Saccharomyces cerevisiae S288C: one gene and its partner. The protein of the gene in region 1 interacts with the protein of each later gene in a pairwise test. Each region holds a gene or a part of one and is shown in the gene's direction. Other genes may lie near its edges.

The links. Proteins that work in one complex are often made in the same cells at the same time.
Region 2: the proteins of AFI1 (region 1) and CNM67 interact in a two-hybrid assay, tested with the Saccharomyces cerevisiae proteins (2 studies listed by BioGRID).

What each region holds. Positions count from the first base shown.
Region 1 is NC_001147.6:563,599-572,548, reverse strand, and holds AFI1 (Afi1p), read left to right. Parts: upstream 1-2,990; coding exon 2,991-5,672; downstream 5,673-8,950. Other genes in the region: YOR131C (putative haloacid dehalogenase-like hydrolase), read left to right, coding at 1-367; ORT1 (Ort1p), read left to right, coding at 1,742-2,620; phosphoribosylaminoimidazole carboxylase ADE2, read left to right, coding at 6,358-8,073; GTPase-activating protein RGA1, read right to left, coding at 8,356-8,950. UniProt on the Saccharomyces cerevisiae protein: Involved in actin patch polarization. Required for maintaining a proper budding pattern in yeast cells. Required for proper polarized localization of the ADP-ribosylation factor ARF3 at the plasma membrane.
Region 2 is NC_001146.8:222,160-226,169, reverse strand, and holds CNM67 (Cnm67p), read left to right. Parts: upstream 1-1,700; coding exon 1,701-3,446; downstream 3,447-4,010. Other genes in the region: SQS1 (Sqs1p), read left to right, coding at 1-1,374; JJJ1 (Jjj1p), read left to right, coding at 3,739-4,010. UniProt on the Saccharomyces cerevisiae protein: Involved in the pathway that organizes the shaping and sizing of the prospore membrane (PSM) during sporulation. Required for the proper formation of the spindle pole body (SPB) outer plaque.

The sequences.
Region 1 (8,950 bases):
TAGCAAGAACATATGTACTAGAAATGTCGGAGCCCCGGTAGAGACTTTTGTTAAAAGATTTATTCCATCCGAGCTTTCGAGGTTTGACTATATTGTGACAAGGGAGTTTAGGCCTACAAAACCGCAACCAGACCCATTATTACACATCGCCTCGAAGCTAAATATAAGGCCCTTGGAAATGATCATGGTAGGAGATTCATTTGACGACATGAAATCCGGTAGATCTGCTGGATGTTTCACGGTATTACTCAAGAATCATGTGAATGGACATTTACTGCTCGAACATAAAGAACTAGTAGACGTTTCAGTAGAGGATCTTTCCGAAATAATTGAATTGATTCAAAATATGAATAAAGAAAGTTTCTAAAAAAAAAAAAACTTTACTTAGATATGTACATATGATTGAAATACCATTTTATTCTTAGATGTTTTTTAGAGCTAATATAGTAGCTATGGCGGAATTACCTTGATTTTTTCGGCATCACAAAGTTCGAGAACACATCAAATCAGCAAAAAAATCTCCGCGACGGGGAATTGAACCCCGATCTGGCACGCGACAAGCGCCCATTCTGACCATTAAACTATCACGGATTTTAATTGTTGGGTTAACGGTGTTTTTATTAATACTTGTTTCATATGATTTGAAAAAATAAAAAAATGTTGCAGCAAGTGATCATTAATGTCAATATAAATAATGATGGTAGCAAGATGAGTGTTTACGTTAATGTACATTTCATATACTGAGAAATAGGTGAATTTTCGGGATAATCGTTAGGATTTCATTATTGTTAAGGGCTATAATTTAGGTATATCGAATATACGAGAAGTTCTGCACGATGATATAGGGATCCATAAAGGGAACCAATATTTCTACGTACCTGTTACTTCTCCCTCCATTTTATATTTTTCATCATTTTATGACGTTATCAAATCCTTGCATTTCAGTTGCCATTATACTTTACCATTGTTTTTCGATTTTATGTCATCTTCTTACACCGTATGACAATATACCAGTAGTATGAATATCAGTCGATGAGTGAGTTGATTTTTATTCGAACATACACGTTTTAACGTGAATGTACTAAACTGCTAACTGAGCATTTCGGACAGTGCTGAAAATAAGTTAAAGATCTACGCTTTGGTAGTTATGTATACGAGTCATACAATTCGTCACATTAAATGTATAGTATCAAAGACAGTATTATCCACACTTAATCTTCATTAATACTTATCAACAAAAATGAAGCACTCATCTGACTATATTTATATAATATTGCCGACCAAAATCCTTGTGTTTAATTCCAAGTGATTTAGCACCAATCCTATTCCATCCATGCAGGTGCTGTTGCTGCTGGATCCGTGTTTTTGACCAGTCTTAATGAAGCACAACAGCAGCCTACCCTTTTTGTGGACCATATTAATGGATACAATGAGTACTTAGCACGAAGAAAGCGTAGCATTGTAGTTTCATCGTTGCAACTTAGTCCTAGTACGTTCCAGTTCTGCATCGTGACTCACCTTGAGCTCGAAAAATGTGACATATACGTTTTCCGCTGTGGCCGCTGTGGCCGCAGCGTCAAGAATCGCCAATGATAAGTTCTCTGCTCCTGGCGTCGATAGATTCAGAAAAGTGTGAAATTATCGAAGCACGGGTATAGTTAATTGTTAAAGCGTAGATGCTTTGTCGTAGAAACTTTTCTTTAACCTATAGGGAACTCAAATTCTGGAAGGTCAACGTATAATGGAGGACAGTAAAAAGAAAGGATTAATAGAAGGCGCTATACTCGATATAATAAACGGTTCCATTGCAGGCGCCTGTGGTAAGGTGATCGAGTTTCCTTTCGATACTGTGAAAGTCAGGTTGCAAACACAAGCATCCAACGTGTTCCCAACAACATGGTCTTGTATAAAATTTACTTACCAAAATGAAGGAATAGCACGAGGGTTTTTTCAAGGCATTGCTTCACCTTTAGTTGGAGCATGTCTGGAGAACGCGACATTATTTGTGTCTTATAACCAATGTTCTAAATTTTTAGAAAAACATACAAACGTTTCCCCGTTGGGGCAAATCCTGATCTCTGGTGGAGTAGCGGGTTCATGTGCTAGTTTAGTTTTGACACCCGTGGAGCTGGTGAAGTGTAAGTTGCAGGTTGCGAACTTACAAGTTGCATCAGCTAAAACGAAACATACAAAGGTGTTGCCTACAATAAAAGCAATTATAACTGAGAGAGGATTGGCAGGATTGTGGCAAGGGCAATCGGGCACTTTTATTCGAGAAAGCTTCGGTGGTGTTGCCTGGTTTGCAACCTACGAAATAGTTAAGAAGTCGTTGAAAGATAGGCACTCCCTTGATGACCCAAAAAGAGATGAAAGTAAGATATGGGAACTACTTATTAGTGGAGGGAGCGCTGGATTGGCATTCAACGCCAGTATTTTTCCTGCGGATACTGTGAAATCAGTAATGCAAACTGAACATATAAGCCTCACCAATGCGGTGAAGAAGATATTTGGCAAATTTGGACTAAAGGGTTTTTATCGAGGACTGGGTATAACCCTTTTTAGGGCAGTACCAGCAAACGCTGCAGTTTTTTACATCTTTGAGACTCTTTCTGCACTTTAAATACAATAAATCGTGTAATAAGCAAGTATGTAACATTGATAGACAGTCTGTAATACCATTTACTGATCAAGAATGTCGCACAATCTCAACAGCCAGGCTTTGTGTTAGTATTTTGTGTTTTTTACAACAACCTCTCGACTATTGTATACCAGTTTCTTGCATAGATGCTACTATTCTCTGACAGTAAATTATCTAGTCAGGACTTCGGATTTAACTAAATGCAAAAAAAAAAATGATTCGAATGTAAACAAAAAAAACTGTCTAGGTAGCAATGGTTCTTCTATAAAAGTGCAAGCTCTATAAAATCAAGATCAAGCATAGTACCGCCCACTGTTAGAGTCTTTGGTACGCAAACATTTTTGGCTACCGGATGTTGCGAAGAGAACTAAATAACTCTATCAGCAACAGGTCGATAGAAAATGAATCCTTTCCTTTTGAAAGGCCGAATGTCAGCTATATAATATCCGCAGAATTTGATAATAAATTAGGTCCTATTTTGAAGCACCAATACCCGAAAGATATTCCAGGTTTCAATCAGTTCTCACATGAGCAACGCAACGGCAATACGTCGGTGTCTATGAACTTGGCAAGTTTAATGATACCGAGTAGCATAGAGAGAAATCCCGGCAAACAAGATATTACAGTGTTTACCCTTTATTACAATAAGTTTACTCAAAACTATCAACTCTTTCCTGTGCCAAAAGACCCTCGTTTCAGTTTCAATCTGCATCATCGTGAACAGTCAGATGGTAGTGTTACCAATAGCATATATTACGATGCCGAAAATCATCAAGATGCAAAAAATAATAGATACACTATTGTCTTGGAAGATGATGAGCTCGAATGCCAGGAAGTTCAGAATAATCAGAAAGCCATCGACAACGAACCTTTATTTTTCATAAATGTCGCCAACACAGTATTAGACACCACGAACGATAGAGGGGCAGTAATCAAGTCGATTGCCATCGGAACACCATTAAAAACCTTCTTTGCATTCAAAAATATTATTGTATTAGTGTTAGACTTGTATATGAAAGCTCCCACTCAAGCTGCTGCTACAGACATACTGCTTGATTGCTTTAATATGCTAAACAGTATTGACCTTACATTGATTAATGACATACATTCCAAAAGTAGTATACAAGAAGTGCTACACTCTATCCATGACGAATCTATCATTACCAAAGTATTTTTAGACCCGGATTCCACTTTAAAGAAACTCTTTTGCATCAATGGATTTGACACTAAGGACAAGTATGGTAACATTGTGACTTTTCATGACCAACTCATTCAATATCATTTTACAAGATTTCAGCCAAAGACGCTCCCGCCATTTTTGTTAAAAATCCCATTGCAATTTAATATGATTAGAAGAGAGCCTATTTATATTGAAAATGATTATAATGAACTAGTTTTAAAATTTTTGGATAAATTTGTCCCTTACCTTCTTAAAGCCGGACAAAAAGTTAATGCATGGAAGTTAGTCATCAATTCAACTAAACTGAGTAAAGAAGACCTATGCGCTTTTATTTTGTCATTAGCCAACATAACGGCAACTTATGCTAGCGATCCACAATCATACTTCAAAGGAAATGCTGCGTTGATTTTTCCCTATATGGACATTTCTCTTGTTGACGGTTTGCGGGCGTATGTAGCATCGAATAGTGATTTTGTCGGATGCTTTGCAATTATCGGAACTGCCAATCCAATTTTCCGATACCAGTTAGATATCTGGGATTATTACTACGATGTGGATGAGGGAGTGTTTTATGAAAATAATAGTCCAGAAAAAGAAAAGCCAGATACAGTGGCAGAAGTGAAGATTGGGCCTAACCCTTTGAGAAAGATATTCAATAGGCCTCATTTCTCAACCAACGCAGTCAACGAAAGTCAGGTAAACTTGGGCCAGAAGCTCTTTTCTCTTCTTATCGACGAATATCATGATAGTGATACTATCATGAGCGTTTTGAGAAGGCTGAATGTTCTTCAGTTGGAAAACCTTCTGGACGCTTTGAAAAGACGAGAAATTCCACCTAATATAGCACTAAAAGATGAATATATCATGTTTTATAAAGATTTTTTCATTTTCCCGGAGTTCTTTGATTATTTTACACTGCATAGTATTGAACTATTGTCTAACTTGGATAATTGTTTATTTAGCTTAGGAAACACATGCCAGTTATTTTCCACAGAGCAAATATATTCCCAATTAAGCCAAATATTGGACATTGTTAAAGAGCTGTTTCGCATGGTATCGGTAAGCAGGACAAACATTGAGAAGTTTTTAAACGCTTGTTTGAACTATTCTCCGTTCAAAATATTACCCACAGCTCAGTTACACGGTGATAATATTTCTAGGTGGAGTTTTGAAAGCGAAGTGCGTCAGGGTTTCGATAATTTTAACAGCTATATGGGCATCGAAAAAGATCCCCACGGTGTTATAGTATCAGCAATAGATCTTTTTACTCAAATTTACAGTTTTGATATCTTGGCGTTTTTCCTCACATTTATTACAAAAGAAAGTGGGCAGGATTTGCCCTTCACAAAATCTCTGTCCAGGAGAAGAACGTATTTGACCAGAATTGCTCAATCTTCTTCATTGAGACAGTTTTTACAACTGAGTACACGCCCTAATATAAGGATTCTGGGAGGTAATGGGCAGGGTACTGGAAATTCCAATTATCCCGAATTTACAAACGCATCCTCAGTCATCTCACCCAAGCTAAGGGCTTCTCCTCTACTAGAAAGAAGGGCGTCAAAAATCTGCTATGCTATTACGAAATTACTCTATAGGTTAGAATGTCATCCCATAGGTATGGCCCTTTTAAAGAAGTATCTCCACAATCAATTGCGAGAAGCCTATCTAGAATCAAAACGACACTTTATTTCCAAAAAGGGAGATTCGACCAACACTTCCTCTACCATTGCATCATCATCTTTCGCTGGCGCATCTGTTCCTCTATCTTCAAACGAATCAGGAATGCTAAACGGCTTGAAGCAAATTAACGAACAACAAGAATCTACATTAGAAACCACTCAAAAGGAAGACTAGTAACGCCGTATCGTGATTAACGTATTACATAAGTTACAGGATTCATGCTTATGGGTTAGCTATTTCGCCCAATGTGTCCATCTGACATTACTATTTTGCATTTTAATTTAATTAGAACTTGACTAGCGCACTACCAGTATATCATCTCATTTCCGTAAATACCAAATGTATTATATATTGAAAGCTTTTGACCAGGTTATTATAAAAGAAACTTCATGCTCGAAAAAGATCATTTCGAAAAGTTGCCTAGTTTCATGAAATTTTAAAGCAGTTTATATAAATTTTACCTTTTGATGCGGAATTGACTTTTTCTTGAATAATACATAACTTTTCTTAAAAGAATCAAAGACAGATAAAATTTAAGAGATATTAAATATTAGTGAGAAGCCGAGAATTTTGTAACACCAACATAACACTGACATCTTTAACAACTTTTAATTATGATACATTTCTTACGTCATGATTGATTATTACAGCTATGCTGACAAATGACTCTTGTTGCATGGCTACGAACCGGGTAATACTAAGTGATTGACTCTTGCTGACCTTTTATTAAGAACTAAATGGACAATATTATGGAGCATTTCATGTATAAATTGGTGCGTAAAATCGTTGGATCTCTCTTCTAAGTACATCCTACTATAACAATCAAGAAAAACAAGAAAATCGGACAAAACAATCAAGTATGGATTCTAGAACAGTTGGTATATTAGGAGGGGGACAATTGGGACGTATGATTGTTGAGGCAGCAAACAGGCTCAACATTAAGACGGTAATACTAGATGCTGAAAATTCTCCTGCCAAACAAATAAGCAACTCCAATGACCACGTTAATGGCTCCTTTTCCAATCCTCTTGATATCGAAAAACTAGCTGAAAAATGTGATGTGCTAACGATTGAGATTGAGCATGTTGATGTTCCTACACTAAAGAATCTTCAAGTAAAACATCCCAAATTAAAAATTTACCCTTCTCCAGAAACAATCAGATTGATACAAGACAAATATATTCAAAAAGAGCATTTAATCAAAAATGGTATAGCAGTTACCCAAAGTGTTCCTGTGGAACAAGCCAGTGAGACGTCCCTATTGAATGTTGGAAGAGATTTGGGTTTTCCATTCGTCTTGAAGTCGAGGACTTTGGCATACGATGGAAGAGGTAACTTCGTTGTAAAGAATAAGGAAATGATTCCGGAAGCTTTGGAAGTACTGAAGGATCGTCCTTTGTACGCCGAAAAATGGGCACCATTTACTAAAGAATTAGCAGTCATGATTGTGAGATCTGTTAACGGTTTAGTGTTTTCTTACCCAATTGTAGAGACTATCCACAAGGACAATATTTGTGACTTATGTTATGCGCCTGCTAGAGTTCCGGACTCCGTTCAACTTAAGGCGAAGTTGTTGGCAGAAAATGCAATCAAATCTTTTCCCGGTTGTGGTATATTTGGTGTGGAAATGTTCTATTTAGAAACAGGGGAATTGCTTATTAACGAAATTGCCCCAAGGCCTCACAACTCTGGACATTATACCATTGATGCTTGCGTCACTTCTCAATTTGAAGCTCATTTGAGATCAATATTGGATTTGCCAATGCCAAAGAATTTCACATCTTTCTCCACCATTACAACGAACGCCATTATGCTAAATGTTCTTGGAGACAAACATACAAAAGATAAAGAGCTAGAAACTTGCGAAAGAGCATTGGCGACTCCAGGTTCCTCAGTGTACTTATATGGAAAAGAGTCTAGACCTAACAGAAAAGTAGGTCACATAAATATTATTGCCTCCAGTATGGCGGAATGTGAACAAAGGCTGAACTACATTACAGGTAGAACTGATATTCCAATCAAAATCTCTGTCGCTCAAAAGTTGGACTTGGAAGCAATGGTCAAACCATTGGTTGGAATCATCATGGGATCAGACTCTGACTTGCCGGTAATGTCTGCCGCATGTGCGGTTTTAAAAGATTTTGGCGTTCCATTTGAAGTGACAATAGTCTCTGCTCATAGAACTCCACATAGGATGTCAGCATATGCTATTTCCGCAAGCAAGCGTGGAATTAAAACAATTATCGCTGGAGCTGGTGGGGCTGCTCACTTGCCAGGTATGGTGGCTGCAATGACACCACTTCCTGTCATCGGTGTGCCCGTAAAAGGTTCTTGTCTAGATGGAGTAGATTCTTTACATTCAATTGTGCAAATGCCTAGAGGTGTTCCAGTAGCTACCGTCGCTATTAATAATAGTACGAACGCTGCGCTGTTGGCTGTCAGACTGCTTGGCGCTTATGATTCAAGTTATACAACGAAAATGGAACAGTTTTTATTAAAGCAAGAAGAAGAAGTTCTTGTCAAAGCACAAAAGTTAGAAACTGTCGGTTACGAAGCTTATCTAGAAAACAAGTAATATATAAGTTTATTGATATACTTGTACAGCAAATAATTATAAAATGATATACCTATTTTTTAGGCTTTGTTATGATTACATCAAATGTGGACTTCATACATAGAAATCAACGCTTACAGGTGTCCTTTTTTAAGAATTTCATACATAAGATCACTTATTATACATACATACATATCCAGTAACAAGAAGCAAGGAATAATTACCTGCTTAAGTCTGCGATTAAAAAAATAACGTTTCGATACAGTTCATATAAGGCGGCTCAATGCAGAACCGAGGATAGCGCTACGTCAGGATATCTTTGTAGTTCCCAAATATAAATGCGACAATATAGTTTCTTTCTTTCATATCAATAATATCCTTTTCTCCACTGAAATCACGAATCAAACCTGGAGCAAAAACTAAAGCCAAATTATAAAGCGTCATTCGATTCCAGTGACTGTACCGTGTAACCTTTTCTATATGTTCACTCAGTACTCTTAACACCCTATAATGTTCCCTTGGAAGGTCTTCCAATATGTTTTTTAAAGCGCTCTTGCTCGACATATAAGTGTCCGAATTCTTTGCTTCTAAGGACAACTTTCCTCCAACAAATGGCAAGTTTTCCATCATTTTTTTAGATTTAACTAACCTCATCAACGGCTCGTATATTTGAAAGGTAAAGATAGGGTTGGGGAGCTTTCTTAAGTATCGCTTCAACACACCAGTAACAACGTTGAGATCTTGTTCCGTTAAAATATTTGGCGTTTCGGTATTTTGTTGTACTTTCCATGCAGAAAATTGCTTTTCTATTTCTTCTATGACTAGCTGGGAACCTGATTTTCTATAAATGCCCTCCGATCTCATATTTTCTTCGTCTGATTCAATAAAATCTATGCAG
Region 2 (4,010 bases), on another chromosome or scaffold:
CCTTTATACGAATCCTCAGCAAGTTCTGAGGTTGATCAAGGGTTTAATTATGTTGGCCAACGTCACAATTCCCGAGCTGACAACAATCTTTTACCAAGCCCTAGTCCGCAGTTGACAGAAGATATAAAATGTCTTTCAATAAATGGTACCAAAACATTCGAAGGCAATAATGATAATCTGCCATCTCCTGCTAGCGAAGAGTTAGAATTTGGATTCAAAGAAGAAGATTTTGTCATAAATACTAATGACATAGTGGTCTCCAATATAAGAATGGGCGGAGTAGACAATTCATATTATCTACGGTGTTACAGATTACTGGGAGATTACGACTTTCATTGGATTGACCAGGACTTACTCACAGACTTCGTTGTAGACGAGTTAGGTCTTCCTGAAGATAGATTACCTGCATATTTGAATTTTATTAAAAATTCTCTTATACCAAAAATTGAACCAGCTGAGCCAACCTACTCAGATATTCCGATTTCTGATTCGAGTGATGAAGGTGACAGCTATGAAGGCGACAGCTATGAAGATGATGAAGATATGGCCTCCTCGGTTGTGCATAGCGACATTGAAGAGGGTCTGGACGACCTAATTGCATACACATTGAAACATGATACAGAAAGATTCAAAACATTTGAAACCAAGTCCTTGGAAACTAAGGGTAAAGGTAAGAAGAAGAAGCTACTCATCGATGACGCCTTAGCGCTGGATACAGAAACGTTGGAGACGTTACAAAGTAAGTTTAGTAAACGCATAGAAACCAAAGCAAAGAAAAGAAAAGCCAAAGAAGATTTCATTGATCAGGAGAATAGAAATTCGAACGATATGCTCAAGAAATACCCATATGGACTCCATATTCAAAATATTAAAGATGAATTTGAGTCCTTTTTGTCTAGGAACAATGATAGACTGACTTTCCCTCCATTAGATCCTCATGGAAACAAGACCGTAATGAAAATTGCGAAGCATTATAATATGAAGAGTTCAAAAATTGGGAAAGCAAATCATACGTCGGTTGTTGTAGAAAAAATAAAGAAAACGAAATGGTCTTCTCCGAATTATAGTCTCATTGACCAATTGATGAGGCAGAGGCCAGTATTCATGAGAATAGATATAAGAAGACCGAGGGAGGAACAAGCTGCTTTCGAAAGAACTAAAACAATCAGAGGGAAATTTCATGTTAAAGAAGGTGAGATTGTTGGTCAAAACGCTCCAGAGATTGGAAACGAAAATATCGGTAGAAGAATGTTGGAAAAGCTTGGGTGGAAAAGTGGAGAGGGCCTTGGTATTCAAGGCAATAAAGGTATAAGTGAACCAATTTTTGCCAAAATTAAAAAGAATAGATCGGGTTTAAGACACAGTGAAAGTTAATATTTTCCAAGCTTTTAATCCTCATTTTCTTAACAATTGCGTATATACATATTTTTTTATTTTCTAGACTAGACCATGAAAAATCTATGGTAATATACACATACGGAGTTTTAGGTACAACTTCTCGTTACATATCCAATTCAATTATCGTAACTGTAAATAACATCTTCTTGTGAAAATTCGCGTTGCGCGACGTGAGGCGTTAGGCAATTTTTTGTGGAACGTTTATAGTAATAAAACAACTAATAACGTTAACGTTCCTCGGGAAGAAATCTACACATACAAAAAATAATCACTAGTAAATAGTGACAGGTCTTTTGTACATCATGACTGATTTCGATTTAATGAATTTTCCATTTCATGAGCGTTTGGATTCTCCTGTATCAGAGAATGGGGAAATTAAAGACGGAGAGCCAATCCCACAAAACTGGCTAAATGAAAATCATGTCGGAAAATCCATCTTACCTTTATTCGTTAACCCTGAAGATGTCATCAATTGCAACTTTTCCAATGCTAGAGACTCATATGAAGAGAACAAATCACCATCTATGGATCAAATGAATTATGCTAGAAATACTAGTTATCAGGAATCTCCAGGATTACAAGAACGACCAAAAAACGAAAAAGATAAGTCTCCCATAGGTACTGATGTTCATAAAAAGGATGTACCCAATTTCATACACTCTACTCCTAGAGAAAACTCTTCGAAGCATTTTACGAGGGCAAATGAACAGGCTTCTGCTCAACCAACTGATGAACATACATCGCCAGATATCTCGATAGAAGACTGTAACGGTGCCAAAATTTTTCTACAAAACTCCTTATCGAAAGAGGATTTTCGAATGTTAGAAAATGTGATACTGGGGTATCAAAAAAAAGTTATTGAATTGGGTAGAGATAATCTAAGACAAGAGGAAAGAGCAAACTCTTTACAAAAGGAGCTCGAAGCAGCTACGAAGTCAAACGACAAAACCTTAGATAACAAAAAAAAAATTGAAGAACAGACAGTATTGATTGAAAACCTAACAAAGGACCTTTCGCTGAATAAAGAAATGTTGGAAAAAGCCAATGATACTATTCAGACAAAACACACTGCATTACTAAGTCTCACTGACTCCTTAAGAAAGGCCGAGCTGTTTGAAATACCGATTGGTATATTGTTTTTCGATTTGTATGACTCGGAGGAAAATTCTTCAAAATTAGATCACATATTACAAGAAAAATATCCTAATATTAAAGGGTTTTTATGTGCATCACAGCAAGAAGAGCTGAGCCGCATTTCTCAGCGATTTAAAAATGCAAAAGCAGAAGCTGAGGATCTCCGAAATGAGTTAGAGAATAAAAAAATTGAAATCCAGACCATGAGAGAAAAAAATAATACTTTAATTGGTACAAATAAAACCCTTTCCAAACAGAACAAAATACTATGTGATAAATTTGACAAGTTGACAATCGATGAGAAGGAAATTTTGAAAGGATGTAATGAGGAAATAAAAATTAAGCTGGAAAGGTTGAATGAAAGACTAGGATCATGGGAAAAAAGCAAAGAAAAATACGAAACATCATTGAAGGATAAAGAAAAAATGCTAGCAGATGCTGAAAAGAAAACAAACACTCTATCAAAGGAACTGGATAATTTGAGGTCGCGATTTGGAAACTTAGAGGGAAATACTTCTGAAAGGATTACAATAAAAAATATCTTACAGTCAAGGCCCGATATTTCGGCAGAAGAATGTAATTTCCTTATGGTTGAACAAATTGATTCAGCAAATTTGACGACTTTACAAAATACTGTCAAAGAAATTGTTTTGGCTGTTGGTATTCCTTATCCAAAGTTAAGGCGAAAGATTCCGTTGCTGGCTATCAAATTGAAATATGAAAACATCATGCTGTCCAATTTTGCTCAACGTCTGCATAGACAAGTATATAGTCAAGAAATGAATCTAAAGAAATTTACGGATCAAGCATACTATGATTTTATGTCAACGCGCAGGATGGATTCCATAGATCACCATTTGGAGAGGTGTCTGGACCATCTGTATGATCATATCCTGGAGAAGATGGTGAAGTAATTTTTATTAACGGAGTCAATAGATAAATTGTTGTAATTGTAACTAAAAATTAAGGTATAAGATTAAATTATATTCTAGGAAGTATGTATAAAATATTCATTTGTTGTAAAATTGGAGGGCTTAAGCGGCCAACATTTTATGTTTACACTTTTTCTTGTTTTAAGAATAGAAAAAAAATATACGTGAAAAAAATTTGAAGTCATCGCAAAGTAGCTCTTTTTACATAGTAAAAGTCTGACCAGCCAAGAGTTAATATCAGTATAGTGATATCCTACTACTTCAAAAATAACGGATGAAGACCTGCTACTATGAGCTTTTAGGGGTCGAAACGCATGCTTCTGATCTTGAGTTAAAAAAAGCTTACCGTAAAAAGGCCCTACAATATCACCCAGATAAAAACCCAGATAATGTTGAAGAAGCCACACAAAAATTTGCTGTGATTCGAGCCGCTTATGAAGTACTGTCTGACCCCCAGGAAAGAGCATGGTATGACTCACATAAGGAACAAATTTTAAATGATACTCCACCAAGCACTGATGATTACTATGATTATGAGGTAGACGC